Arabidopsis thaliana: one gene and its partners. The protein of the gene in region 4 interacts with the protein of the main gene of each other region in a pairwise test. Each region holds a gene or a part of one and is shown on either strand. Other genes may lie near its edges. The genes, in order: AT1G53900, CUC2, AT5G42060 and HK2.

The links.
Region 1: the proteins of HK2 (region 4) and AT1G53900 interact in a two-hybrid assay, tested with the Arabidopsis thaliana proteins (one large-scale study listed by BioGRID).
Region 2: the proteins of HK2 (region 4) and CUC2 interact in a two-hybrid assay, tested with the Arabidopsis thaliana proteins (one large-scale study listed by BioGRID).
Region 3: the proteins of HK2 (region 4) and AT5G42060 interact in a two-hybrid assay, tested with the Arabidopsis thaliana proteins (one large-scale study listed by BioGRID).

What each region holds. Positions count from the first base shown.
Region 1 is NC_003070.9:20,124,296-20,132,376, reverse strand, and holds AT1G53900 (Eukaryotic translation initiation factor 2B (eIF-2B) family protein), read right to left. Parts: upstream 4,833-8,081; 5' UTR 4,816-4,832; coding exon 4,486-4,815; intron 4,402-4,485; coding exon 4,108-4,401; intron 3,885-4,107; coding exon 3,438-3,884; intron 2,573-3,437; coding exon 2,420-2,572; intron 2,338-2,419; coding exon 2,196-2,337; intron 2,083-2,195; coding exon 1,841-2,082; intron 1,750-1,840; coding exon 1,543-1,749; 3' UTR 1,327-1,542; downstream 1-1,326. Other genes in the region: AT1G53903 (linoleate 9S-lipoxygenase-4 protein, putative (DUF581)), read right to left, coding at 1-14; AT1G53890 (LURP-one-like protein (DUF567)), read right to left, coding at 6,382-6,478, 6,572-6,648, 6,733-6,747, 6,830-7,083, 7,229-7,517.
Region 2 is NC_003076.8:21,900,333-21,907,143, forward strand, and holds CUC2 (NAC (No Apical Meristem) domain transcriptional regulator superfamily protein), read right to left. Parts: upstream 3,523-6,811; 5' UTR 3,464-3,522; coding exon 3,274-3,463; intron 3,194-3,273; coding exon 2,910-3,193; intron 2,288-2,909; coding exon 1,634-2,287; 3' UTR 1,372-1,633; downstream 1-1,371.
Region 3 is NC_003076.8:16,817,021-16,822,101, forward strand, and holds AT5G42060 (DEK, chromatin associated protein), read right to left. Parts: upstream 1,936-5,081; 5' UTR 1,903-1,935; coding exon 1,624-1,902; 3' UTR 1,368-1,623; downstream 1-1,367. Other genes in the region: AT5G42053 (uncharacterized protein), read left to right, coding at 688-852; AT5G42070 (uncharacterized protein), read right to left, coding at 2,098-2,140, 2,305-2,550, 2,894-3,099; DL1 (dynamin-like protein), read right to left, coding at 3,641-3,769, 3,855-3,994, 4,068-4,296, 4,395-4,445, 4,550-4,775, 4,915-4,985, 5,054-5,081.
Region 4 is NC_003076.8:13,909,757-13,920,028, reverse strand, and holds HK2 (histidine kinase 2), read left to right. Parts: upstream 1-3,223; 5' UTR 3,224-3,691; coding exon 3,692-3,961; intron 3,962-4,058; coding exon 4,059-4,232; intron 4,233-4,337; coding exon 4,338-4,817; intron 4,818-4,897; coding exon 4,898-5,173; intron 5,174-5,257; coding exon 5,258-5,427; intron 5,428-5,532; coding exon 5,533-5,745; intron 5,746-5,838; coding exon 5,839-6,025; intron 6,026-6,096; coding exon 6,097-6,148; intron 6,149-6,226; coding exon 6,227-6,456; intron 6,457-6,550; coding exon 6,551-6,649; intron 6,650-6,735; coding exon 6,736-7,376; intron 7,377-7,462; coding exon 7,463-7,951; intron 7,952-8,036; coding exon 8,037-8,286; 3' UTR 8,287-8,746; downstream 8,747-10,272. Other genes in the region: AT5G35740 (Carbohydrate-binding X8 domain superfamily protein), read left to right, coding at 8,934-9,003, 9,083-9,337, 9,423-9,457. UniProt on the Arabidopsis thaliana protein: Cytokinins (CK) receptor related to bacterial two-component regulators. Functions as a histidine kinase and transmits the stress signal to a downstream MAPK cascade.

The DNA of each region.
Region 1 (8,081 bases), on a different chromosome or scaffold from region 4:
GAGATTTTAGTCATTCTCTCTATCTTTAGGAATTGGAAATCTGAGTGGAGAGAAATGTGAGAAGGGAGAGAGAGAGAGAGATGAAGTGGAAGCAGAAGCCGAATGGTTTTTGGGAATATATAAAAGTAGATATTTTACTGTATTGAGTGATGTGTCTTTTATGTCTCAATTAAAATGTGGAATTTGACTTTTTCGACATTGGCCAATTTCTTGTCGGGAATTACTACTTTTGCTATTCATCAGAAAATAACCCTAAGACCTAAACTCATACATTCAATGGAATGATTGGGAAAAGGAAAAAAAAACTCGAATTCAATATGTTATAGTTGTTGTTAAATGAACAAATGTAAAATGCTAAAAAAAAGTTTGTTGTAAAGTAATCTATTTATATTTTTAGTTTATACATAATCACTTTTCTAAAACGTGAAACTTAATCAAATGTTATAGACTAATGATATAAAAAAGAATTAAAATGTGGTGTGGACAGATATATTTGCCATCTTTAATGTCTTTACAAATATATTTTTAATTTCATTTATTGTGTTAGTATATTAGATGTTCCGAAATAATTTTATCTTTTTTCACCTTCCCGAATACAGTATACTTTTGTAAACAGTTGAGCACGAAGATAACAAAAAAAACGTGTATATGGGTAATTCCAGGAAAGAACGTAATATTTTTAAAAAAAACGTGGGATTGTAAGTGGCCGGTGTTTTATGAATCTTACAACGTTAGCAGTTAGATCCAAACATTAGCTATAGGCCTATAGCCTATAATAATATTCCATCTGTTTTACAATATAAATTGTTTTAAATAAAAACACGCAAATTAAAAATATTTACTTTTAAAAAATTCTACTAATCACAAAAGAGACTACATAACATAAATAATCATAAAATATTAAAATAATATATAATTTGTATAGAAACTTGAAAACAACTTATATAGTAAAACAAAAAAATTGTTCCAAAACAACTTATATTATGAAACAGAGGGAGTAGTTACTTAGACCAAGCATTAAAATAATACTAAGAATTTACCATCTTTAATTCTATCACGTTTCTCATGCTCTCATTTTCAAAACATCAAATCATATGATATTCCATGTTACATTATAGGTCATTTATCACTACACTGCAATAATTGCAACTTTTCAATATCCAGCGCATACCATACCATTTTTTTTTTTGTGCAAACATTTTAAAGTGTTAAAAGGATATATATACTTTTGCAAAAAAACACAAATGATTCTAACAATAATAAAACAATATAGCAATACATATCTCTAATCAAGAAATCAAAAACCAGAAATGATCATACTATAATATATACTAGTAACTATATATTGAAACTTGGGTGATAAATTTTGAGTAAAGATGACAAGTCACAAAGATCTCGCTACTACCAAAAAAAATGTGCATTAGCAGTAAGAATCAGAGACAAACTATGTCTGTGTATAGCCAAAAATATGGTGTTTTTGTTTTTATTTTTATACAAAAAATGAGAGATTTCAGACCAGCTATAGGAATTAGACAGCTTCACTTACAAGTAAAGCTGAATAAGCTCGTCACTTACTACAGATGGAGTGAGAACACCAAGATCAGTGAAGAGTAGAGTCAAGTACTGAGGAGGAGTGTAGTCCCTTGCAGATCTTTCTACCTCAACCTTAGGAGGAACAGGAACACTGAAATCAATAGGTCGCAAGGCTGGTTCTAAGTCCTTTTGATCCAACGGGTAGAGCCGTGCAAACTTCGCTTGCAAGAAAACAAGAAAGAAGATGATGGATCATTGATGTTTTTGCAATCAAGTTTTTAAAACTTTTAAAGTTTTGGGAGGTTACCTTGTAACTCTCTGCAGCTACATAGACTGGTTTATTCATACTCTGTGCGACTAGGGCGATTTGGTAAGTTCCCATCATGTTAATTATCCCGCCACTTTCAACTACTCCATCAGCTCCAACAAACACCATGTCTACTTCATCCATGCTATAGGCCACGGCTGAATCGATCAGAAGCTTCACAGGAATATCAAGTTTTGCAAGCTCGTTAGCTAGCAGTACACCTGTTTTATCTGGCCTTCCCTCTGTATTTTGTTTCCACGGATGCAACGGAAATGTGATTGTCAGTTAGGAAAATCAGAATGAGATAACTGGAAGATGTCATATCCAATTGATCTCTAAGTCTTAAGAAAAGTACCTGTGCACAACACTCGAAAGAGTTTCTTGTTTTGCGCTGATGTCTTTAGTATTTCAAACACAACTCTGGAGAAACCATGGACCAGAATAGTACACCCATCAAATATGAAATCTTGACTAAGCATTGCAATTATCGTTCGGGCCTGCAAAATTTCCAGTTACTGTTCAAACTCTTCTTCTACTAACTATTTATGTAAACAATTCCCGTTCGAAGAGAACACTGACCTTGCAAGATATTTCCCCAAATTTCTCAGCACGTTCAAGCACACGGGATTTCGCAGAGTTGAAGTCCTCAAATTCTAAAGCAGATGTTCGAGTCACATAGCGCATGAATAGATCACATCCCGCTGTTAAGGATATCGACGTTGTGTCCCATGACTGAAACATGAAGACAATCTTACATTTTTAGAGTTCTACCTCGAAAACACTGAAAGCTACTCAAATAATACCATCTGACACTCAGGACTAACGAAATCCATCAGCTACCAATTTCCATAGAGACATAATATTTCAAAGAAGTATAGCATCATAGAAGATGTAAATTAAAACCATAAACACATCATCCAGGAAAGATAAAACTTTCAACCTATCTTTCCCTTTAGAGCCACCAGAGAGTCTTAGCGATCAAGAAACTCGCAGAAATGCCAAGTACAATTCAGAACTCTACAAGTCAATGCAATGCCATAATCACATCTACCATTTTGACACAAACTAAACCTGATTTTTTGTCAAAATAATCAATGCTAAGTTGCAAACTAATAGCATGTTCATTAAAAACTGAAAGCTACGATTTGAGCAGGACTCAAATGTACAATCTGACACTCAAATCAAAGGAAACAACCAATTGCTCATTTCAAAACAAACAGAATATTTCAAAGAAGTATAGCATCACAGAAGAAGTGAAGTAAAACCAGAAGCATCAGCATCAAGATATCCAAAAAGATTAAACTTTCAACCTATCTTTCCAAATAGAGCAACCAGAGATTCTTAACACCATCAATAAAATCCACAATGCAGAGATTACTCGGACATATAATGCCAAGCAAAATTCACAACTCGACAAGTCAATGCAATGCCACGATGATGATCACATCTACCATTTACGCCGCAAGCTAATCCTAAGTTATCGTCAGGGCATGAACCAAAATACTCAATGCTAAGAGTTCGTTAAAGATTGAATCACAATACAGAGTCATCCAAAATTCAGAACCCAAATTTCAACACAAAGAAGAAAGTCTCTTACTTTCAGAGTATCAGAAGCTTTCTTGAGTTCAATTTCAAGTTCCATCATAGTAGTAGCTTCACTAGCCCTAATAACAGCCGCAAGAGCACGAATCGCCGCAACAGCCTCCGCCAAATCAGGTTGCTGTCTCCAACTATTAAAGTCCTCAATCACGCTAAAGGGTCTTCCCGAAACTAAGGAATCACGATCAGGGTAACGTCGAACCGCGGCTTGAGCCTGCTCCAACCACTCGCTAGTCACAATTCCATGATGCGCCGCTCTGGTTTGGTAATAAGCCGAAATAGGATTAGGGTTAGGGTTTTCATCCGCCATTGAAGCAGATGGTGGTGGAGGAGAATCAATTGAATGAGTTAGAGAAATGGGTTTGTTGTTCTGATGCTTATCGAGGATAAACGAAGCCGATTCTCTCCACATTTTGATGAATTCTTCGAAAATCTCAGTTTCAAGCTAGAGACTTTGGGGTTTATGCCTCATGCCTGTAATAACATTTAATTTAGCTTTAAGAACTTCATTAACAATAATATTATCATTTGGCTCTCCAAAATTGTATATTTACATTTACGACCCTAAAGTTTACACAATAGTTCAATCTCACCCCTACTAATTATCACAATTTACATTTGAGAAGACTATATGCTATAACAATACCCATTATTAAAGAGTGATCTACTTGTGGCTCCACCATCATTGTTAATACATCTTTCCCAAGATCTAAACTTTTGATATTTGATTGTTTCTTTTTAACTTCTGCCAATAATCTTCCTGATCCATCCTCGATTGTGAAAACCGATTTGCGTTTTACAATCTTATAACAAGATTGATGATCACCATCAACTATACGCGATCCCATTACAACTTTGTATGATGAAGATGAACCCTTTGGCAATATCTTGAAGTTTTTTCTTAGTTGAAATCTTGTCCCGGTTGAGTTATATCCTTTCCAAGATTTGAATAATCCCAATTTCTATAACCAAGAAAATAAAAGAGTTAGAACAAAATACTTTTAAGAAAACTATAAGAACATAAGATGATATGTTTTATTGTTTACCTTTTGACGTAATGTAAACAAGATTTTGCCGTATAAGTCCATAAGGTAAACTTCACTACAACTCTTGGAGTTATAATTATCCACTCGATAGATTAAGTTTCCTTTGGAATCAAAAACTGTGCAGCCTTTACTATGAAACACAAGAGATCTCATCCAAATCGTGAAACTCTCTTTCTCCGTCGTTAAGTACGGCGAAGTCTTGCCTTCTCCCACGCTAAAATCCACAGGAAACGCCTTGTCAGGATGAATCTTCACCATGTTCTTCGCCGGAGAAATCAGATTAAGTGAAAATTTGGTCCTCATCGTTCGGTTGTTGCTATATATTTGCATATGTATTGATTTTTTTTTATGTTTGGCTCTGAATGATAGTTATATGTCTTCTTCGCATTTATATATACTTTCTACTAGTAGTAGTAATTCAGTTTTTGGTGTGTCATTAGAAAATATATATATACGAAGGTCTTCGTCCACATGTTCAATGTGAGATACAAAATAAAAATAACAGAGAAAATCATGTAGCGATAACATGTATGGTCGTTTTTGTTAAACAAAAAAAAATGTATGGTCCTTTTTGTTTGTTACTACATGTCTGGTCGTTGTAACGTGACTAATGTGATTGTGAGATTCGATTAATAGAGCAAAAAATATTGAAAAAACTGTTCATACAATATAATAAGATAACTTCAAATTATTAGTTGCTAGGCTTAGAATCGGTCTTCAGTTGTGGTCCATTCCATTTGTGTTCTATCCGTTGTCCAATGCTGACAGTTTATCGGAATGATACTGCACAAAAGAATGTTTTGACAGGAAGATTAACTGTAAAAGCTATTGTTTATATTTGCAAAAATTGTGTTTTTTTTTTTCTTTGTATTTGCAAATAAATTTGATATCATTTCTTTTAGGGCACTTTCTTTTATTCTCTAGAACACTATAAATTAATTTCAATTCATTCGCATACCCAAAAAATAATGTCAAAGTGTCACAGGTTACGTTTTTTTTGTGTTTGAAAATTGAAACATGCGTAAGAAATTATATGTTGTTGCCACTTAAAACTAGGCGTGTACATCTTGATATCAGGACAGTAAAATAACACATAAATCGAGAGCAAGTAATTCACATAACAAAAAACATTCATGACAATTTTCGATAAGATAGGGACGAGAATTTTGGGTCGCGGAACGAGTTCAAGAAATTTAAGTAGCAAAATTTATTATTCAAATTCTTACTAATTTGGGTAAGGCTTGATGTCGGGACGGTTAAATTAAAGGTCACTTTCGATACGGGTATTTCTGAAAAACTTACATATTTAGATGATTTTCATTAATTTTATAAAAGCTGAATAACCAAACGAATAATACATATATATATCTCATTCTATAAACAATTTCAAGTAGCTATTTTTATTTTTTTTAAACACACAAATATGGGATAAAAATTGGAACATACAGTATATGAACAGTACCGAAATGGACAAGCCTATTTAAAACCATGTATGGAATATGAGATGGCTCATTCTGCTATTACAAATTACAATCTGATCACATGGTCCTTTAGTTTAATAAAATCGTATGATTGATATCTCTATTATCTTTTCATGCATTCGTATAACTTCCATGACCCCTTTACTATTAGTCTATTATCTTCTTCACCAATTCCAATTCTTTCTGCTGACTAAATTACCATCCAAATCTATTTAATTCAGTTTGATAAATATTTTAGTAATTCAATTATGGTTAACTCAGCTAGTTAAAGATATTGTTAACAGAAACATGACCCTAATTTCAAAACACTTTTGGTTTATGTTGTGGAATTGGTACTAGTATTAGTAAAACATACATCCGTATAAAAATCACGCTTAAAGGGTCTTCTCACGACCGGGAAAACGAGTAATCACGGTCATGATAGCGATGATTGAATGGCAGCTTGAGCTTGTTCAAACATACTCGTTGGATCAGTACTATTCCATGGTGCGCGGTTCGGGTTTGGCAATAAGCTGAAACAGGGTTATAGTTTCATCCGCCATTTACGAAGAAGTTGGAGGAAAAGAATGGATTGAATATTAAGTAAGAGAATTAGGTTTCCATACCAAAATATAAAAAAAGAGAGAACTGATTGGTTGTTTTGACTTTTATGAGGATGAACGATGCCGAGCTTCTCCGCATTCTGGTGCAATCTTTTCAATATCCAATTTCAAGCCAGATATTTGGGGTTTATGCCAACGTTTAATTAGCTTTAAAACATGCTTACCTTCAAGATTACCACCTGATTATCACAATTTACATTTGGTAAGTTTATAAGCTATAACAATACCCATTATTAAAGAATGATCTAGTTGTGGCTCCACCATCATTGTCAAAACATCATCTCCAAGATCCAAACCACTAATATCCGATAGTTTGTTTTTAACTTCTGCCATTAATCTTCCCGATCCATCCTTGATTGCGAAAACTGATCCACGATTTACAATCTTATAACAAGATTGTTGATCACCATCAACTATGCGTGATCCCATTACAACTTTGTAAGACGAAGATGATTCTCTTGGCAAAATCTTGAAAATCTTTCTTAGTCGAAATCTGGTCCCGGTTGAGTTATATCCTTCCCAAGATTTGAAGAATCCCAGTTTCTATATATATACATGCACACAACAAAAATGAACTTGCAAGGTAAAATAAAATAATAATTATAGGAACTTATAAATTCTTAGAAAACATTGATGAAATGTTTAGTATTACCTTTTGACGTAAAGTAAACAAAATTTTGCCGTTTAAATCCATAAAGTAAACTTCATTACTCCAACTCTTGGAATCATAATTATCCACTCGATAGATTAAGTTTCCTTTGGAATCAAAAACTGTGCAGCCTTTGCTATTGAACACCAAAGATTTCATCCAAATCGTGAACCTCTCTTGCTCCGTCGTTAAGTAGGGCAAAATCTTGTCTTGTACGACGTCCATATCCACCGGAAACGCCAGGTGAGGATAAATCTTCACCATGGTTTTCACCGGAGAAATAGGATTGTATATTTGCATATATTGAAAAACTTTTTTTTGGCACTGATAGATAGTATATATATAGATATCTTCTTCGTATTTATAGCCTCTACTAGCTAGTAATAATTCAGTTTATGGGTGTATCATAAAAATTAAAATAAAAAATACGAAGATCTTCATCCACATGTTGAATATGTGAGATAAGAGAAGTTTATAAAACGTATCTTAATTCTATTCAACACGTACATACACGTAAGGTCGTTGTCACGTGTGAGATTCGAGTATTAGAAAAATATATATCGTGCACATCGTCACATACAATATAGTATATAGTAATAGAACTATTAGTTGATAAGCTTAGAAATGGTCGTCCATTTCGGTTCATTGCATTTGCATTCTCGTTGCTGGTAAATGCTGACAGTTTCTTGATATGATAGTGCACAAAAAGAAGTTCTATAGGAATAACCATTGACCCCATGTTGCTAACGATGGTGCCAAGTTAGGGAGACAATTCATCACGTCCTCTTCAATTGGTCACATATTTTGGCTGCTTGAAGGATTTCCAACGTCCCGCTATATCATCAATTAATTAAACTATACTTG
Region 2 (6,811 bases), 8.0 Mb from region 4:
GCGTAATCGGTGTGGGCGTAATGACGTACAAAATCAGACATTTGTTTTTGGGGCAAAAAATCAGACATCTTTTAGAAAAGCAAGTAAAATTTAAATGTTGTAGTTATTGAAGCTGATAATAATAATAAAATATAGTAACTTTTGGTTTAAGATTTTTATTTTTTAAGTCAGGCCAGCTGAATTTTCTGCTTTTTTATATATACATAGTGTGATAAAATTAGTCAGTTCTTATCATCACTTAGCTGTTCTTTTGTGTAAATAGCTGGGTTTTTTCTTATATATATATATATATATATGTTGGTCAATGTTTTTTGAACCAATACCATTTGCCTTAGTTTGTTTTGTGATTGCAAATGTAACCAATGAAACCCAAAATAATAAGCATACAAATGTGTACATATATTCCTTTAGCTAAAACATCATGAAATTTTGCCATTTAGCAAGACGTATATGTGAGTCTGTGAATTTGTCTTATGACTAGGTAGTATAGGTTGGTGATGCAACAAGAGCAATAATTGATGATGGTAATGATGATGATGATGATGATGGTTGTGTTACACACATACATATATCATACTCCTACTAGTATACACACGTGAAATGAAAACACATATATAATGGTAATAAACAGAGGTATTATTAATTATGTCTCTTTCTAAAAATAGAAATGTGAAAGCCATCCTTCTGAAAGTGAGGTGGACTGTTGTACAAGATCTGAATTTGGGAGTGGTCCGTTCGTCAGCATGCGCATCATATTCATCATCCCCGTTTCAAAATCCTTAATTTCAAAACTACTTCTTTTCTTTGGTGGGTTTACAATGCATTAAGTTAATCAAAATTAGTATGTAAATTATTTTCAGTAACTACCATGTACATGCATGTTATCTTAATCAATTAAGCCAAACGCAAATTGTTGTGTTTAGTCTCATATGTGTACGATTGTAGCAAGAAGATACACCTAACTGAAAATGGTGTTCATAGACTGATTAATCCACTGAATTATGAGTACTTACTTTAAAAGCATGAAACTTTCTTGAAATATTTTGGCAGTTACACATGTCAACCTTAATTAGCTAGAATTAATAAACAAAAACTACATGCATGTTTTACATTTGAGCATCTTCAATTGATGAAGAAATTAAATAATTAGCCATGTTATGTAATTACGGAAATCATCTAACCGAAGATTCGGAACGGTTGAATTCCGGAAACATATATATAACCGCCATATCAAATTGTATTAACAAGAAGAAAACTAAGGTATCTAGAAGCGACCGAAGAAATTCATTTTGTCGGTAATATACTGTATGATTGTATTGATAACCAAGGACACATGTCAAATATCATGAGAAATATAAAACATGAAAAAGCCATGAAATTAACATAATGTCAAACATTACAAAAACGAGCATAGCTTATACATATGCACGTTCATAGTCTAGAAAACATTTTCCTTGCATATTACCTCCTAATTAACACAACCGGATAAACTTAAAACTAGAGAATTAAGCGGAACATCAAGCTAAGTGCAATATTAAGCTCCTCGGTACACACATTTCATAATACCATAATCATCCTAGAAATACATAAATAAAACCCTAACGGGAACAATTATAAGTCACCTCTTTTGTGATCAGTAGTTCCAAATACAGTCAAGTCCAGCATGAAGCACACCGACCTTTGACTCATTCTCTTCGGCAGTCGCCGGTAGCCAGTAATTCATCCCGGAGACGCCTCCGCCGCCTTGGAAAGAAGGCAGATTAACGGCGGAGGTCATAGTCGATGCAGAAGACGATCCAAAGTAAGGAAATTGATTGAAGTTTTCTTGGAACGATCTGAAGTTAGATTGAGTCGAGACGTTTCTAGAAACGAAACGAGGAAAAGGGTCAAAGTCAAACCCTAGCGGCGGTGGAAGACGGCTGAATGAGTTAACGTCTAAGCCCAAGGCCGTAGTAGTAGTAGGGACAGTGGAGAAACAGGACACGTGCTCGGTTATTGCGCTGGCTGTGACGGTTGTGTTGGTGCTACGGCTGTCGTAGGAGCAACTGCTGTCGGTGTAGCCGAGGGTAGTGGTCGGATCCAGGAGAGGTGGGAGTGAGACGGAGGAAGGAGAGCTTGGTTGTTCTTGATAGTTTCTTGAGATTGTTGAGGGTACTTTCGTCTTTTTAGATGGACCAGTACCGCTGCTTACGCTCACAGTTGCTCCTCCTCCTCCTCCTCCTTCGGAGACGGCTCCGGTGCTAGCTAAAGTGGTTTTCTGGAAAACCCTAGAGATCACCCATTCATCCTGAAGGAATAAATTAGAGTTTTGAAAAGTCAAATATTTTATATAATATATGTTTGATGAGAAAGTCAATGTTAGATCTTGGAAATAAAAGAGAGTGAAGATTAAGAAAAACCATAGAGTAAAAGCGTGCACAGAGGGAATGTACATTGGACACTACAAGTCTACAATGGATATGGAACACTAATTAAGTAAAATTAATTTAATTAAATTTCTTTTTAATATATCTAGGTCAGAAAAAAATCCTGAAGATTTGCATTGGTTCTGGTTTTTTGCATTAAGCTTTCCAAAAGTAGGATGTATTAATATTTTATTTTATCAGAGCTATTGAATGTTTTCTTACTTTAGGAAAACACCATTATGATTGAAATCCCAATACATAAAAACAGCAGATCTTTTCTATTTCATGTTCCATAATGCTCTCAGATAACCACAGTAAAGAACCATGCCTTTTCAGCCATCAAAATTAAATGCAATAAAGCAAAAGAGAAAAAAATCAACGTCACCGACTATGTCACACTCTCGAATTTTTTTTCCAAATAATAGATTGTAAATTTATTAATCAAAGAAAATTAAGGCTTTACTTTATCAACAAAATAACTAATGAAAGGTTAAATCGAAGTACCTTGGAGCTTCTTGAGATGAAATGGTAAGAGAATTTGCCTTCAAGACGATATTCATGCATAACCCAATTACTCTTCTCTCCTTTCGGAGCTCTTCCTTTGTAAAAGACAAGAGTCTTCTTCATCCCAACAAGTGCACAAGTCTTTGAACTAAAGATCTCTCTGTCTTTTCCGGTAGCTTTCCAGTAACCAGCCTCAGTTGCTCTGTTAGTTCTCAGTCCCGTCGGATACTTCCGGTCACGGAGGCTAAAGAAGTACCATTCTTTCTCTCCCATCTTAGCTCTCCCTAAGTAACATTGAGAGTAAAGATTTCAGAAACCTTAATTACAAAAGAACTACAAGTAAGTTAGTTTTGTATTTTCTTACCGGGAAGTTGCCAAGGCTCACACTTGTTGAGATCAACTTCTGCGATGGCACGGCTTGAGAAGCAACCGTCGAGGACTTTGCGGAGAAGGTAATGAGTGATGAGCTCTTCGTCCGTGGGATGAAACCTGAAACCCGGTGGAAGATATTGGCTGTCTCCGCCATGGTCGTAGTGGTAATACGGAATGTCCATTAAGAAGAAAGATCTAAAGCTTTTGTTTGAGAGAGAAAAAACCCTAAGGAGACTCAAATGTTTTGAAGAAGAAGATAAATAGGTTAATATAATGGATGGTTCTTGAGTAAGGGGCGTGGTAATAATGTGGATGGATATTATTTTTTGGTTTTATTAGTTTATTTTTTTTATACATTGGGATTTGGTAAATCTAAAACGGCGAAATAGAGGGAAGCTTTTTTTTTGGGGTAGTGAAAGTAAAATAATTATTAAAAGATTAAAAACCAGAAAGTCGTAGAGAAGATAATTATAAATTTAGTAATAATAAAAAGACAGGTACGTCTACTCTTTCATAGGAATCTGTGGTTTTCTCTGCCTTGTCTTGTAGTAAAGAGAGCAAAGCCAAAGCAGATTATTACATCACATTTTTGAGTTTATCGATATATTTTTTACATAACTCGAGATTGTTTTAAAATTACAAAATTAAAATTAATCATGAAGTGTCCGTATTTCTTTGAATTAAATTATTAAAGAAACGAGGAATGGGCTCTTGTTTCTATCTGAGTATGCGTGCGTGCATGAGAAAAAGTGCAGTGGTATTCTCTGTCAGTGATGAAAATAAAAGAGAGGATTCAGATTGTATCTTTTTTTTTATCTACGAACTTGAAATTTCTTTTTATTATTGTGTTTGGAAATTGGGATACATAATAATTTATTATACGTACAATGACTAATCGAAACAATAGTAGTATAGTGAGGGATACATTATTAGACATATACACTAGTTATTTGGAAAGTGAAGAGTTTCAATTTTTATTTTTAATAGAAAAATGGATATTATATCGATAAGGCTGTTTCAAATCTTGGAGTGTCAGCACAGTACATGATTAATTTATCAAAAACTTTGACAGAGACTTCGTTACTACACGCCACCACCTTCTACACCTTTCACCTCTCTTTTTTTTTTCCTTGATTTTCTTTTCGTTTTTGTTTCATCTTTTCCATTTTCCAATTTTTTACTCCTGTGATGGATTTTTAGTTACTTTTCATTGCTTCATATTCATTTGTAAGACTCAGCAAAAGAAAATTAAATTTCATTATTTTCAAGCAACGAGATTTATGATGTAAGATTGAAAAATAATTTAATCAAGAAGTTACAGGTTGCAAATCAGAGAAGATATTTATGCTGCCTGGTTTTGTAGTTTTCTTAATTACTATCTCAAGTCTGTTTTTTCTCCTTTTTTATATAAATTAATTATGGCTCATCAAATAACTAATTATCAATTATGTTGATTGTTACAGGTCCACCAAAATGACATGACTAAACGTAAATTTCACAATTGTTAATTTATTTCTGTTACTTCCAATATTTTGATTATTATCTCATACAAATTATTTATTTTAGTGGAACTTCAATTTTAGCCCTATTTGACATGACTTGTTTTTTAAAATTTCCCACCCAAAAATGTACTAAAGAATAAACTAAAGAATAAAAGACACACCCAAAAATGTAAAGACCTTAAGATCAAACTAAAAAGATAGTGAGTTGATCAATTTCTACTAATAAATTAACTACAGACTTATTGACTATTTTAACCGTATGAAAAAATTGTATAAACTTAAATCAAAATAACTCTCCCCTTCGAGTATTCATATCTACGGACTTATCATGTGTGTAACTATTAGTTAAAAAAAAGAAGATGTTATAAAGTATGCAAAGTAATAATTATACATTAAAAATCATTATCAGAGACATGCTAAGACTATTACACCTGCTACTACTGTTTAATAGTAGTATTTATTACTATCTAGAAATTGTAGGTCTATCTATACGTCTTTTTAGACATATCTGCATATGACAGTAACTAAATCTAATTAATAAGATCCTTTCCTGTCTTAATTACAGATAGTTGAAGTAAAAGATTATCACCAAGCTATGAACCGAAGCAATAACATTATATAATTGTAATTACTTGAATTTATGAAGTTTTGAATACATTCTAGTGTGCCAAAGTGTTAATTGTCTTAAACTGAAAACAATGGCCAAACAGATTACAATGTTGATATTGACCTTGCCAAATTTTAGAAATTTGCTTTACTTTATCTTAATTTAAACATATATTTTTCACGGTTAATTTGTTTGTTTGCTTAGCATTTTTTTCATAACGAGAAAAATATTCTTATGACTTTAAATATCTAATATCCGTACTTTTTCAAGGTTAAAATGCACACTCCCTACTTTCTATCACCTTCATTCCATTTATGCTATATTTTTGACACTTTAAATACCACATTTATCCCCTTTTGATTAATTAACACAATAGTAGAGTGTTTGATATTCTATATACATATCATCCTCTTTATTTTATTTTTCAATTTCTTTTCCAAATTGTTTATATTTTTCTATTGATCTGAAATTTATGGCTGCTTTCGAACACCAAAATGGATTTGTTTTTCTCTACAGAAAAACATATGTCCTACCATAAAATTCGTTGTTGTTTTATCAATCATTTATTACAAAACTTTTATTTATTTTCTAAAATGTTTGGTAATACCGCATATCATCTTTTTTTAATAACTGCAAAAAGCAAATGAACAAATGCCAATAATAAACTATTTGACGTAAGAGAACCCAATAAAATAAATAATGATAGCATTATAAATGCAGGAGGTTAACACAGTATTAAGAAACAGTAGATATTCCCTTGTGACCTACTCACTTGAGTAAACTAATAGCCCAATCTATGTTTAATTTCTTTTTGTGGTCAACATTTTTTTGATAATACATATTTGTAATTTTTATGGTTCGAAAGAGGATCTTACTTCAGATAGACTTTCCCAAAACAAAAACCAAATTATTTGTTATCTCGATGGTCAAGCTCAAGCAGTCGAAGAGTAGGTAAGGAGAAGAGCAGTTAATATAGCATTATATGGCTACATGGACTCTGTTTTCTGTAATGTATAAATAATTGTATACTGTAAATATCTTAATTTATGATATATATTTAGATTAAAGGCAATTGTGTAAGAAACGTCGAATTTGAACTTCTTTATCAAATAATCAGAATATCAGATAATAAGTAAAGATCGTCTAAGTTAAACTAATTTAGTGTATAGGCATTGATTATTCTTTCTTCTTCTTCATCTCTTAACTCTTCCTCTAGTCGACCACAATGCTAATGATTTCCTGAGGAGAAAACAAAGGAAATGCTGATCCATCTGAGTGAATCACCGTCGTATTTGATGAAGGAGGTGCTTCTCCTTCTCGGTCTTGAATGTTGGACACTTCTTTTATATATTGTTTCAAAAAATGTGAACAGATTTGTGATTTTCACTTTTTTTTACCCTTTAGTTTCTTACGAGACACTT
Region 3 (5,081 bases), 2.9 Mb from region 4:
ATAAGGAGGAGTATTAATAATAATTGTCTGAAGAAATGGTATTTTACTAGTTTATACAGTTTCTTTCTTAAGTATATTCCCAGGAGATATGGGATAAATAGAAGATGTGCTATTTTTGTGTGGGTGGATGAAGAATAGATCTCATCTCCGCGCTTTTTTCTTTTTGTAAATTATATAAAATAACATATGTACAACCCCAAAAATAGGGAGAAATGAGATGATGAACTCTTATCAATTTGTGTTTGATATTTTTATTATTGCTCCTATTCACTTCTTGCCCAATTCTATCTTGAATTTCATTTATACTAGTCGGAATAAACCGGCCACTTCATGAAAGATTTGTTGTAACAAACAACAAACTTCTCCAACAAGTAATTAAAATGAATCCAGAACAGAAGGCAATGGTTTGGGGGAAAAAAAATGTGGGAAAGATTAGTTGAAGCAGCAAAAGTGATTAGAGAAAAGCACGTTAAGAAAAAGTGTACAATAAAAGTGTTAACATCAAAACATCAAAATATTTAATTTTTGTTCGTCGGCATTAGTTTTGTTATAAACCATAGGAGAAAATGTCAGAAATAGATCCACAACTTAAAAGAAAATCTCACGACGTGGCGTAGGTAAATGGAGACTGGAGATATTAATGTGGGGGAGATGAAGAAGACTTTGAATTGGTCTTTGTTTTGAAATATGCGTTCACGCTTAGTGGAAACAAACACATGGACTCGTCTCGACGCTAATTACGCGGACCAGATTGTGCCACGCTTTAACGGTGCACGTTGGCTTTGTATTCGATGGGCTGAAACTTTTGCTGACTTTGTGTTTGGACCAATCAGCCACTTGTTCACCAATTAAGATTAACCTTCTTTTTTTTTTATATAGATTATCGGCATTTATGTATATTTTATACGAACTGGTAATAATAGTGCATAACAATTGCAACAAAACTACAAGCTTTTGGAACCCTGAAAGGGTTGCTGATTCATGGAACTAGAAGTGTATTCTAAGGTTGAGACTTGAGAGTGTTGGCTGAGAAATTTATCAGGTGTAACATTGGTAGCTTTTGGTTTGATAACTGGACCGCCTTTGGTCCACTCATCAAATTTATTGGTAACGACGGGACAAGAAGCTTGATAGTTGCCGTTAATGCTACCATTCCTGATGTGTGCAAACCTGATGGTTGGAATCTTGCTAACCCACGGTCTGATCAGTATAAAACACAGTCAACAATCCATTGGAAAGCGAATTACAAGCTCTAATCTATTATTTGCAATATTCAGCTGCTGGAGCAAAGGCTATCGAAAGGTGTGTTTCCAAGGTAATAACAGACAAGTATCTCTTTTCCTGAACAAAAAATAGTGCCATCAACTTCAGAATCTGTAACTGAATTCGACACATTAGGACTTGGCAAGCCAAGTTTGAAGAGGTGTCCTGCAAATTTTCTTGCAAGAGCTCAAATTCCTCAGACACATTGTCTTATTGCTTAGACACATGTTTCATATCGGACAAAAACATTAGCTTCCATGAACCAGAAACACTATTAAAAAAACAAACAGAGACAATCTTTGAGGAAATTACATTAAAACTATCCAATTTTGGATCGACATACTTTTAGATTAATAATATCTAAATACTCGTCGACTCTATTCTCTTGGGAAGCATCGCAAGTTTATTGCCGATCAACTTTACTGCTTCTTCGAGGAAATTTTCAACTTCTTCTTTCACGATTACCTTGTAAGGATCTTGAGACAGATCAAGATCCAATTTAAGTGAAGCTTCTTCTCGCGCCTTAATCTCTGTTATCTTGTACAAGTTCGAACTTTCCAAGATCTTCTTCACCGTCTTCTTTATTTTCCTCCGCAGATCCTTGTCGATCTCTACTTCTTCTCTCGCTACTTCCTCCATTGATGATGTCTCGCCGACAGAGAGAAACCAAAGGGTTTTTGTTTTGTTTTTTCTTACGAGTGATAAAACCTTCTTTAGGGTTTCTTAACTATTGAGCCGTAAAATTATAAATGGGCCGATAATATGTTTAGGCCCAATCATCATTACACATTTCCAAAAAAAGTTCTTCTTGGACTTGAAAAACTGGGCTATATATCACTTGTTTGAACTTTTGCTAGAACTTGTTGGCTTTGTCTGGCTGCAAAACAAACAAAGAGAGAAGAACATGATCATCATTACTCTGCAAGGTTCTCAAACCCATTTTGACATTCTTGTACATGCCAAAAGACGGTTTTTGTTGCGGTCCAATTTGTTTCATTGTTGATTGTAAGTGTATATAAATAATACTAGGCATTAACATACCGTAGTAGTGAATCACTGGTGTCTACAGAAGTGGAGGATTTAGAGTCACCACGACCAAATGCAACCTCGTCCATGCTCTGCCCTATGCGGCGGTATCTACCTCCGGCCTCAACAAACGCGGGACAAGGCCTGTAAGCCTTAATTGGCCACCAACCGAAACCGGGGACAGTTGCAATGCCACCTTGAATCCGTCCGTCACCATTACACCCACTCTCTTTCTCTTCTTTCCCACACGCTCTGCAACCACTGTTTCATTCCTCATGTTATGATCTATTGACTATAGAGAGATGGATCCATCACAATTCACAAATGACAATATAACCAATCGCTCAAGCCAACATGAGACCACAAAGAAATTTATGAGGTTAGTTATTGTAGAGAATCATTTTAAGAGATTCACTAGTGTAACAAAATTGAAGATTCATATAACACTAACAAGTTAACAGCAGAAAAGAGTCTCTATGATTTCATCATTTACGCAATCCCTAATCTATCACTAACTCTAAAATCCTTAATGTCAACGAAATTGGATTAGCTGAGAAAGGTTTAAGCTTTCCAATGGAATCGATGAAGAGAAGCAAAAGGGTACCTGAAAGTGAGGTCGTTGTCGTCGTCATTATCAGTTTCTACGACGGAAGACGGCGAAGAAGAAAGAGAGAGTAGTGGATGAGGATGATGCTTTGATGATTTGTTGAGAAAGAAACTGCTTGAGCTTGGCCATGGCCTTGATTTGTGACTACCATTGTTGAAGATGAAACATCGAGGCAGAGATATTGATGAAATGGAATTCGCCATTTTTCTTTCCTCTGTGAGCTAAGAGAAGAGAGTGTGAGAAGATAATGGCCACAAATTCAGAAACGCAAAACAAAATAAAAAAGAGTACATTACAAATTTTTATTTTAAACTATTAGAATTTTTTTCTTATTGGTAATCATATTTAAATATTATACTCTTTTTTTGGGTAGAATGTTTAATATTATACTATTGTTACAGAAAAATTATCATATGCGAAAAATACATTTTATAGTAATTAAATAAAGGGAATAGAGAAAATCTAATCTATGTGGATGTTATAAAAGATACGTAACATATCGGGTGATGGACAAAAAACATTAGAGGCAGGACAAACAATGTGGATGTTATAAAACGATACGTAACATATCGGGTGATGGACAAAAAACATAGAGGTAGGACAAACAATGTGGATGTTATATAAAACGATACTGCATGGTATCGGGAAGATCATCTTATACAAATTACAGACCCTAAATCTCTGCTCCGAGTCTGAGCCACACCGACCAGAACCGAGCAAAACAGTGGACATGACATGCCGGTATCACTTGGACCAAGCAACAGCATCGATCTCGGATTGGGCTGCTCGATACAATTCTAGCCGCTTTGAGATGGCACTGCGTCTCTCCATGATTGCTGGATCTTCGTTCAATAGCGACGAGAGCCTCTTCATCTGTTGGATATCACCATATTAGTTGACTCAGTGTTTACCCGAATGACACTTCTTTAGGTTAAGAAAAAAGGCAGAGAGCACTTACATCCATGGTACCGAGCTCCGCAAAGAAATGGTCGAGGAGACTGCGCTTCGCTTCTCGGACTTGGCAGTATACGATGGACTTGGGGATTGAATTCCGCAGGCCAGCACAGACCATGTTCACGTAAGACAAAACATTGGATCCTGTTGCCAAATGTCTAAAATTTGTGAGATATACGGTACCAGATAATTATTTATTTATATGGGTTAACCTTACCGATTCGTCTGAGATAGGAATCGTTGTAGCGGTCGAAAATGGAGTGTGTGGGGTTACCACCCTTCTCAACATCCTGGGGAAGTTTCCTGAAGAAATCAACAGTGAGGTAACTGCACTCCATGTCAACCAGCTGCAGTGTTGCTTTCTTACTTCCTTCCCGCATTTTATCCAGCGACTCTATCGCCGCATTTGTCACCTCCACTCTCAGAGCTGGGTATTGTTTTAGTTCCTGCACATGTTCAAACCGTCTATAACATTGTACAAAAGTACTAGTTGTTGGAGATATATATATATATATATATATTACTAAAAGAAAAAAGAACGTACCACAGTTTCATTCACAGACTTGTGAACCAGATCCTTTAAGATAGCATGAACCTAATATTTAACCATAGAAAAAAAAAAAAACGGAGAGAGAAGCTTATTGTTTTGTGTTAGGTTTTTGATACATCTTTTTAGAGATGAAAGTAAAGAGTTCATACGGTGTCAACAGATGCTTCAGCAGGGCCTCTGATGGAGACAATAGAAGACTCAATGAGACGACGGTAACCTTGCTCAGGAGCAATCAAGTGAGGCTGGTAACCATCAGCCTCAGTGACCAGCTTCCGGATGTTGTCCATCGCTAGCTGCTTGTCAAATTGGAGTCTCTTCAGAGCCGCAGGAAGCTGGTTATCAAACACGTTGTACACTTTTTCACCACCAGCACGCCTGTGTAATCAACCATAGTCTTAAATTACAATTTTCCTTTTGTAGTTTCAGAAGGTCAAGAGTAGAAATATCAACTCAGACGCTATAACAACTCATGGTGTAATCTTAAACATTTGAAGTAAAAAGAGTCAAAACGTACACTCCATCAAGATGCTCTTTGAATATTTGATCAAAAAGCCGACATATCTCCATTATTGAGTACAACTTCCCCTGCATCAGAACATTAAGTAAATCTTGATAGCGCAATTCAATCAAAAATAAAAGAATACACAATTTACCCCTGCATCAGCTGCAATAGGCTTTCCA
Region 4 (10,272 bases):
CCAATAATCTCGATCGTGAAAATTTTAATCTTTTTTGTTTCAGCACAAGACTTTTATTACGTGAAACATTACTTTCATACTTTGTTGGCAATTGTGAGTCTTCGGGTGTATAACATATCTTTAATAAAACTGTTTTCATGGCTTTATCGTAGCAACTTGACGTCCTAAGAGGGTCATTAAAAGCCGTCTATGAAGTAAAGCCGTAAATCCCAAACCGAATAATATTCTACATGTTTATATTGCTTATTGTTTTTTAATAAAAATAATTGTCTCATGCTATTATTTGTCATTTTCTATTTTGTTCTAAAGTCTAAAATATTGGTGAGATAAAAATAATAGATAATATTTTTTTTAGACTAACTAATTATCAATTGAGATCTCTTAGGTGGAATACATATTAAACAACTAAATAATATATAGGAATGAAAGAATAATGAGGTTTGATATGTACATACGACAGTAGTTCAAAAATACCAAAAAAGATCGATTAAATGAAAATAAATTGTTATTTAGGCAGAGCCGTACTTCATGTAGGAAAAAGACATTTGTCTTAGGTCATACAAAAATAAACAAATAAAATGCCACATTTATTTCTGAATTACTCAGTATTTATTTTTATTTAGCGTTTTAAGACTTTTGTTTTGGAAAGAAAACTCATCAATAACATTTATGGAAAATTTTGTTTGTTTTTCCTTTACATTAACTACTAAATCTTGTTTGTACTGAAATTGTTTCTTAAATGAGCAATATATATATATATATATATATATATATATATATATATATATATATTATTTTTCTTAACATTCAAAAAAAATCTCAAAAATAGAATGTGTGAGACTACAATTTTAGAATATGTCTTAAGCCTCTATTGACTTTGGCACGATACTGTATAAGGGTTTAGATATTGGAGTCAAACAAAAAAAAATCAAATCAAATATTTCATCCAACTCTAACTAAATAGGCATGACTAATGCAAACACAATTTAATAAAAGTTATAGGGTCATCTTTGTCTTTGCTTCGTTGGTCATCTTGAGAACACGGTAAGATCACCTCAAAATATACAATTTTGGTCAATTTCATGTATTATGTCTGGTTTCAATTTGGGTGTAGACACAATACTACAATAGCGATTCCATTACAAACACTTTAACGAAAAAATCAACTTTATTTTCTTCAATTTATTTAATTTAAGCACATATATATATATATATATATATATAAATCCTGGTTTTCTATCCTACTATATTATTTGGGAAGTACATTTTAAATATAACCTTATTTTTTGTAAGTAATTACATATGTATGCCATTAGAAATAAAATTTTAAAGAGTAAATTAATTCATTTCTTTAAAAATTAAAAAGTCAATTTAATTAATTAAATTTAACTCAAAAACGAAATACATTATTAATTTCCAAAAAAGTAACCAATTAAAATCAACAAATTAGATTTGATATCTAAATTATCATATTAATTTTTTATTAATTATTATAGTTCACCTCTCATCTTTATATGATTTTATTTTTGCAAAAAAATAATATCATCGTTATAAAAAAATAATTAGAGTTTTTTTCGCATATGCCACAATTTAAATTTAAAAAAAACAAATATAAACTGTTCAATACATGAAAAAATACTATAACGGGTCAAAAGTAGATTTAAAAAAAAATTTTACTGAGTACTGTGTTATAATTTGAATATTTATATTCAATTTCATACATATTATTTTAAAATTTATAATTTTATATACTAAAATAATTAATAACATATTAGATTTTTTAATGTGTATGATGTGATTCAATTTTTAATACAAGTTGGAAAATCCTAGAATTGACGGGTTTAAATCAATATTAATACAAGATGGTATAGTACAGGTGAAACTCTAAAATTAACAATCAAAATACAAGTATATAATTTTAAACATTAAACAATATAAATAATATCAACAAAACATATACAACTAGCAGTTTACTATACATTTAAAATCAAATAAAATAATATCATATATTTGTAATCAACTTTACAATAAAAGTTTTTAGTTTAACTAAAATATAAGCCTACCTGCTGTATAATGCAAGTTAAAATTATAAATAAGCAGATTACCATCACGATGGATGTACCTTCTCACATACACACCTATCAAAAACTTAAAACCTTTCAAAACCTCTTGGTATATTCAAATTAGGATTCTTCATTCATAGAATCATTATTCCAAGGGTTTTGGGATGTCTTATGAAATGATTTTGGCAGAAGAGGATGTAAATTTTTTTGAATAAAAGGTATTCAACAAAACATATGTTTTATTGGGATTTTTTAGATAATTAAATCAGAGAATAGGGCTGGGCATATGAGTAACCCATTCGAGTTCGGGTAGAACCCGTTCGGGTTTGGGATTAATGGGTATATGATTTACTACCTAATAGAATAATTCTAAATATTCGGTTCGGGTCGGGTCCAGTTGGGTTTGGGTCAGTTTGGATAAAAAGTTTCAGGCCCTAAAAATACTCAAAAAAATAGAAACGAGTATTTTGTATGTAGATAGTGCGTCTCTAAACAAAAAAAACTTTTAAATTTATTAAGTTTTAATAAATTTAATTATATTTGAATATATTTTACTAAATTTTGACAAATATAACAAATAATTTTGATAAACATAACAAACATAACAAAGTATACAATGTAATTTATACAAAATATTAATGCCCGTGCTATACAGCACGGGTTATGATCTAGTCCTAATATATTTTCAAAGTCAAATACAATTTTAAACAGAACTTCTTACATAAAAATAATCAGAATCATAAATGTAACTGGGAGACAAAGATACATAAACTGATAAAAAGAAATAAGATGTACATATAGAATCAAATCAATACCCACTTCTCGTAAAACCCACTCATCGTTATATTTTATACAAGATAAGATAAGACTTAAGAGTAGATGTTAAACTATGCTAATGAAGCAATTTAAAAACACCAAAAAGACCAAACAAAAAACAAATAACAATGAGTAGGTTTTAGGAGAAGCATGTATTGATTCTTGGTATAGTTGAGTTTATTTATATTTTCATTAGCCAATCACTTTTTCTAATTTAACTAAAAATGTTATAATACCTTCCCCACCTAGATGATGAGATAATCATGGACCCAAAAACCTCAGTTTTTAAAAATGTTTATTCACCAAAAGACAAAAACAATAATAATAATCAAAAGTAGAGTAAAAGAAGAGAGAAGTGACATTCTTTTTCTTTAGCTCATAATTTCTCTAACAAATGCTTCTTTTATCCAAACTCTGATCATTGAGTCCAGTTGGGTAATGAGAGACACCAGCTGGGTTTCTTTTGTTTAAGCTCACAAACATCTAAAACAGAGAAAGCTTTGTCATTTTTCTTTACCCTGAAACCATGAAAGAAGATAAAGCTTTGTCCTTTTTCTCTTTTCCGTTTCTTTACTCTCAACAATGTCTTCTTTCTCCCATTGCAACAACCACTGGGTTTGGTTCATCTTGTCCTCTTGCGTCTTAAGTAAGAAAAAAGAAAAAAGCTTTGCGTTTGGGACTATGTCACAGCTTCTTGTTCTTCTTGTGGATGGTTTCAAGAACTCAACTATGAGATTGTTGTTGATAGAGTTTTAGTTTTGGGTTTGAAGAGATCTGAATTTCTTCAGCTGAATCTGAGATTAGGAGTCGAAATGTCTATAACTTGTGAGCTCTTGAATCTTACTTCAAAGAAAGCTAAGAAGTCGTCGAGCAGTGACAAGAAATGGCTAAAGAAGCCTCTCTTCTTCCTGATTTTGTGTGGCTCTTTGGTAATTGTTTTGGTTATGTTCTTACGGTTAGGTAGAAGTCAGAAGGAGGAGACAGATTCTTGTAATGGAGAAGAGAAAGTGTTGTATAGACATCAAAATGTCACAAGAAGTGAGATTCATGATTTGGTCTCTTTGTTCTCTGATTCAGATCAGGTAATTGCATGAATTGACTTGTATTTGTTGAAATTGAGCTTTTGAATACGCACCAGATTTGCCTTAAAGTGTAACAGTTTCTCTGTATTTGTTGTAGGTAACATCCTTTGAATGTCATAAGGAATCAAGCCCTGGAATGTGGACAAACTATGGTATTACATGTTCCCTGAGTGTGCGTTCTGATAAACAAGAGACTAGAGGGCTTCCCTGGAATCTTGGCTTAGGACATTCTATCTCATCAACATCTTGTATGTGTGGTAATCTTGAACCGGTAAGATAATATTCGATTCGACAACATGTGAAGGAAATGCTTTAAGATTTGGTGTTTAGCTAGTTCTCACAAAAGTTTATTGTGAATGTGTTTGGTTATGAGTAGATTTTACAGCAACCTGAAAACCTTGAGGAAGAAAACCATGAAGAAGGGCTGGAGCAGGGTTTGTCATCGTATTTAAGAAATGCATGGTGGTGTCTAATCCTTGGTGTGTTAGTGTGCCATAAGATTTATGTATCTCATTCTAAAGCACGAGGTGAGAGGAAAGAGAAAGTACATCTGCAAGAGGCTTTAGCTCCAAAGAAGCAGCAACAACGTGCTCAGACTTCTTCTAGAGGGGCTGGAAGATGGAGGAAGAATATCCTTCTCCTTGGTATTTTAGGAGGAGTTTCCTTCTCTGTTTGGTGGTTTTGGGACACTAATGAGGAGATCATAATGAAAAGGAGGGAGACTTTGGCAAACATGTGTGACGAACGAGCACGTGTTTTACAAGATCAGTTCAATGTTAGCTTGAACCATGTTCATGCCTTGTCTATTCTTGTATCTACATTTCATCATGGTAAAATCCCATCTGCCATTGATCAGGTGATGTTTTTTTCTTACTGCTAAATACATTTTGTGTCTCAAGTTTATGTTTAAATCATCAACTTCTGTTACATTTACAGAGAACATTTGAAGAATATACTGAGAGAACAAACTTTGAGAGGCCACTTACTAGTGGTGTAGCGTATGCTTTGAAAGTCCCACACTCAGAAAGAGAGAAATTTGAAAAGGAGCATGGATGGGCAATAAAGAAAATGGAAACTGAGGACCAGACAGTTGTACAAGATTGTGTTCCTGAAAACTTTGATCCCGCACCGATTCAAGACGAATACGCGCCAGTTATATTTGCTCAAGAAACTGTTTCCCATATTGTATCGGTCGACATGATGTCTGGAGAAGTCAGTAACGTCTAAAAGTTTCTTGAACTATTTTGCCAAACCAATGTCCTTAAAAGAGAATTCAAAAGTCTAACTATTTTGCAGGAAGACCGTGAAAACATCTTACGGGCAAGGGCATCAGGAAAAGGAGTGTTAACATCTCCATTTAAGCTTCTTAAGTCAAATCATCTTGGTGTTGTGTTGACCTTTGCTGTCTATGACACGAGCCTACCGCCTGATGCTACAGAAGAACAGCGTGTTGAAGCAACTATTGGGTACTACTTCTACTTAAAATGATTCTAGGACTGAAGAAATTGAACCTATGTAACAAAGAATGATCTCTGGACCAGAAAATATTAATAAGATACACTTAAAAACAGGTACCTTGGTGCATCATATGATATGCCATCGCTGGTGGAGAAACTTCTTCACCAACTTGCCAGCAAACAGACAATTGCTGTGGATGTTTACGACACAACTAACACTTCAGGTCTAATAAAAATGTATGGCTCAGAAATTGGGGATATAAGTGAGCAGCATATAAGTAGCCTTGATTTTGGTGATCCATCAAGGAACCATGAGATGCATTGCAGGTTAGTTAGCTCTAACTGTTATGGTACATTTTTATAAGATATGTTTCACTTCTCTGTTTTCTGAAGTATGAAAGTGGCATTTTTCATTTACAGGTTTAAGCATAAACTTCCCATTCCCTGGACAGCGATAACACCGTCGATCTTAGTTCTGGTTATTACTTTTCTTGTTGGTTATATTTTATATGAAGCCATCAACCGAATTGCGACAGTTGAAGAGGATTGTCAGAAGATGAGGGAACTCAAAGCTCGTGCTGAGGCCGCTGACATTGCAAAGTCACAGGTGATCTTTGTGAATCATATAGTCTCAAAAGCTTTACTTGTTTTTTCACTGAAATGCTTCTTATTTTGCAGTTCCTAGCAACTGTTTCTCATGAGATACGGACTCCGATGAATGGAGTTTTAGGTACTTTTTCTACTTATCCTTGGTCAATATTGCATGTTCTCTTAAAATCAGCTGAAACGTTTAAGCATTTTGTTACAGGAATGCTGAAAATGCTGATGGACACCGATCTTGATGCGAAGCAGATGGACTATGCGCAAACTGCTCATGGCAGTGGGAAGGATCTTACATCACTAATAAATGAGGTTCTTGATCAGGCAAAGATTGAATCCGGAAGGCTCGAGCTTGAAAATGTGCCTTTTGATATGCGTTTTATTCTTGATAATGTTTCATCTCTCCTCTCTGGCAAGGCAAATGAAAAAGGAATTGAGGTATAATTATAAACTGCATGACCTTCTACTTTCTTAATGTTTTCATATGGCAAACAAATTCCATATGTAATGAAATGTTGACTTCTTGTTACAGTTGGCCGTTTATGTTTCTAGTCAAGTTCCTGATGTTGTAGTCGGTGATCCGAGTCGGTTCCGGCAGATCATTACAAACCTGGTTGGAAACTCAATCAAAGTAATTTACTCCTTACTTCTTACAGAACAACAGGCTTCACGAATCTCTACTATTACAGTACTCATTTGTTATTTACTTAATAACAGTTCACACAGGAAAGGGGACACATATTTATCTCAGTGCACCTTGCAGATGAGGTAAAGGAGCCTCTTACTATTGAAGACGCAGTGCTAAAACAGCGACTAGCTTTAGGATGCAGCGAGTCCGGTGAGACAGTTAGCGGGTTTCCTGCGGTAAATGCATGGGGAAGCTGGAAGAATTTCAAGACATGTTACAGTACTGAGAGTCAGAATTCTGATCAAATCAAATTGCTAGTTACAGTGGAGGACACTGGAGTTGGCATACCTGTGGATGCACAAGGCCGAATCTTCACACCTTTTATGCAAGCCGACAGTTCCACATCGCGGACTTATGGTGGAACTGGCATAGGTTTGAGTATAAGCAAACGTTTGGTTGAACTCATGCAAGGAGAGATGGGGTTTGTGAGTGAGCCCGGGATAGGCAGTACTTTTTCATTTACTGGAGTTTTCGGGAAAGCAGAAACAAATACGTCGATTACTAAGCTGGAACGATTCGATCTAGCTATTCAGGAGTTTACAGGATTGAGAGCATTAGTTATTGATAACAGAAACATTAGAGCAGAGGTCACCAGGTACGAACTTCGGAGACTGGGAATATCTGCAGACATTGTTTCAAGTCTGAGAATGGCATGCACTTGTTGTATCAGGTACTTTACGTACATTAGTGTCTGTCTGTCTTTAGAGATTATAGTGAGTTCACTAAAAGCGTTTTATTGTTCTGGAATCTTTGCAGCAAATTAGAAAATTTGGCTATGATTCTAATAGACAAAGACGCCTGGAACAAGGAAGAATTTTCAGTACTTGACGAGTTGTTTACCCGAAGCAAAGTAACCTTTACAAGAGTCCCAAAGATTTTTCTTTTGGCAACTTCTGCAACTCTTACTGAGCGCAGTGAGATGAAGTCTACTGGTCTCATCGATGAGGTGGTGATAAAGCCTCTTCGGATGAGTGTCTTAATATGTTGCTTGCAAGAAACCCTTGTCAATGGCAAGAAGAGGCAACCGAACAGACAGCGAAGAAATCTTGGACACTTGCTAAGAGAAAAACAGATTCTGGTTGTGGATGATAATCTTGTGAACAGACGAGTTGCAGAAGGTGCACTTAAGAAATATGGAGCTATTGTTACATGCGTTGAGAGTGGCAAAGCTGCATTGGCAATGCTTAAGCCGCCTCATAACTTCGATGCTTGCTTCATGGATCTCCAGATGCCTGAAATGGATGGGTAGATAACTATTTTTCAATCTTATCTCTTCAGCTTGTTCATTTCTTGGATGTCGTCCTTGGTAACTTTATAATTTTTTGCGCAGATTTGAAGCGACAAGGAGAGTCCGTGAGCTGGAGAGGGAAATCAATAAGAAAATAGCTTCTGGAGAAGTTTCAGCTGAAATGTTCTGTAAATTTAGTAGTTGGCACGTCCCGATATTAGCAATGACAGCAGATGTTATTCAGGCTACTCATGAAGAATGCATGAAATGTGGAATGGATGGTTATGTATCAAAACCGTTTGAAGAGGAAGTGCTCTACACAGCGGTAGCAAGATTCTTTGAACCTTGTTAAAAGAAAAAGCCATTTCCCTTGTAGGATTATATATCAACCCGAGAGCTTTTTGACATCGGGTAGTATATCTTGAACATCCATGACCTGCAATTCAACTTGAGATCAAGGCAAGAACCAGTTCATTGTCAATTTTTCTTCACAGGTCTCTTTCAGCTTAAGACCTCGTCTGGTTGAGTGAGAAAAACTGCGAAAACCGATCTTTCTCTTTGTATAGACACTTTGTCTTCATTGATCTCTGCCTGTGTGTATAGTAGATTCCTAGGGTATAGCTCCATTATATTCATTTTATATATATATAAACCCAAACTCTGTCCTCTTAACTATGAAACAGCTTGTATATTGTGTAGTAATAGTAATGGCTCTTGATTACATGATAGGAAGCGTATAAATGACAGTGTGTTCTGAAAAGCTTCCAGAAGCAGAACAAAATCTTCCTCAAAAGTCAAAACCAATGCAGATCTGGCACATGATTGCATCTGAAGCAAACCAAGATTCCCTAGTCATAGATCTTGAACTTTTGGACTAATGATTCTTTCTAACTAGTATAAAGGGTATCAAGTTGCACTCATTTCCTTAGCTCCCAAACTTCCTAACTAGATAGATCAGATCTGGATCTCTCTGCACCACTCATTGCCTTCTCTAGAAACATGTCAACTTTCTTGATAAGGATACTTCTTCCTTTGCTTATCATAGCAATGACTCTTCCTCGACGTTCAGGTAAAAACACCACTGCAATGTTCATACTATGTCCCTTTTTTGGCCTTATGCAGATGTATGTGAGTGTATGTTTAAGCAGAGGCAGAGTCGGAACAATGGTGCATAGCGGATGAACAAACGCCAGACGATGAGTTGCAAGCAGCCTTAGACTGGGCTTGCGGAAAAGGTGGAGCAGACTGCAGCAAAATGCAGCAGGAAAACCAGCCTTGCTTCTTGCCTAACACAATCAGAGATCATGCCTCCTTTGCTTTCAACAGTTACTACCAAACTTATAAAAACAAAGGTGGTTCTTGTTACTTCAAAGGAGCTGCCATGATCACTGAGCTTGACCCCAGTAAGCTTTCTCCTCTCTCTCTTTCTCCCTTGAATCTTAGTAGATAGTGAACCATCTGTTTCTGATCCAGCTATGATTGTGACAGGCCATGGTTCTTGCCAGTATGAGTATAACCCCTGATTCAAACGACACAGCAAAGACAAGATACAGCAAGATGAAAAGCTATGATTTTGCATTTATACGTTTTCTCTATGTAATGTTTTCATTCCAAAGCAGTATCCATGTACTGTTCTCCCATTACACTCCAGTCTGAGATAAAAATTTCTTCAACAACCTGCTTTTACTGTGCATTGAGATTTTCTACAGTATCGAATATACATCAATCTGGTACTATTGCTCAATCTAGAGTACTTAACATGTAGTCACAGACTCGCAGTAATAGGCTGATTCCATTTCTGTTTAGAATACGTTGTTATCACACAGTGCTACCATATAACAACATTGGTTCATTCTGTTCATGGAAGTGAAAGAACAAGTGTCTCCATGAATGTAATGGAAATACATACTTGAATCAAGTCATATACAGTATAGGAGCTATCGATATACTACAGAGATCCATCAACATCAACTTTGTCTTTACAAGTTCTCCTCTTATTTAAATCCACCTAATGTAGGTGGCTATATAATAATGGACTAACTAAACTGGTGCGGCCAAAACAATTAACTATACAGTCAACTAATAATTTACCCTGCCCTTGTACTAATCTATGTTAATAAGCCTTAAACCTGCAACAAAATGTTTAGCGTTGTACAGACACTGTTCTCACCGCATTCTCCTGACAAGCTATGCTTTGGTGTTCTGATTGTGGCATGTCCTGATTGGCAGCTAGGTCTTTGGTTTCATCTGATTCTCCTATTATTTACTCCAAAGATTTGGCATCAGTCTTTGTTTGCCTGATTTTCCATATTGAAGCGCCACTGTCATCATCAAGTTG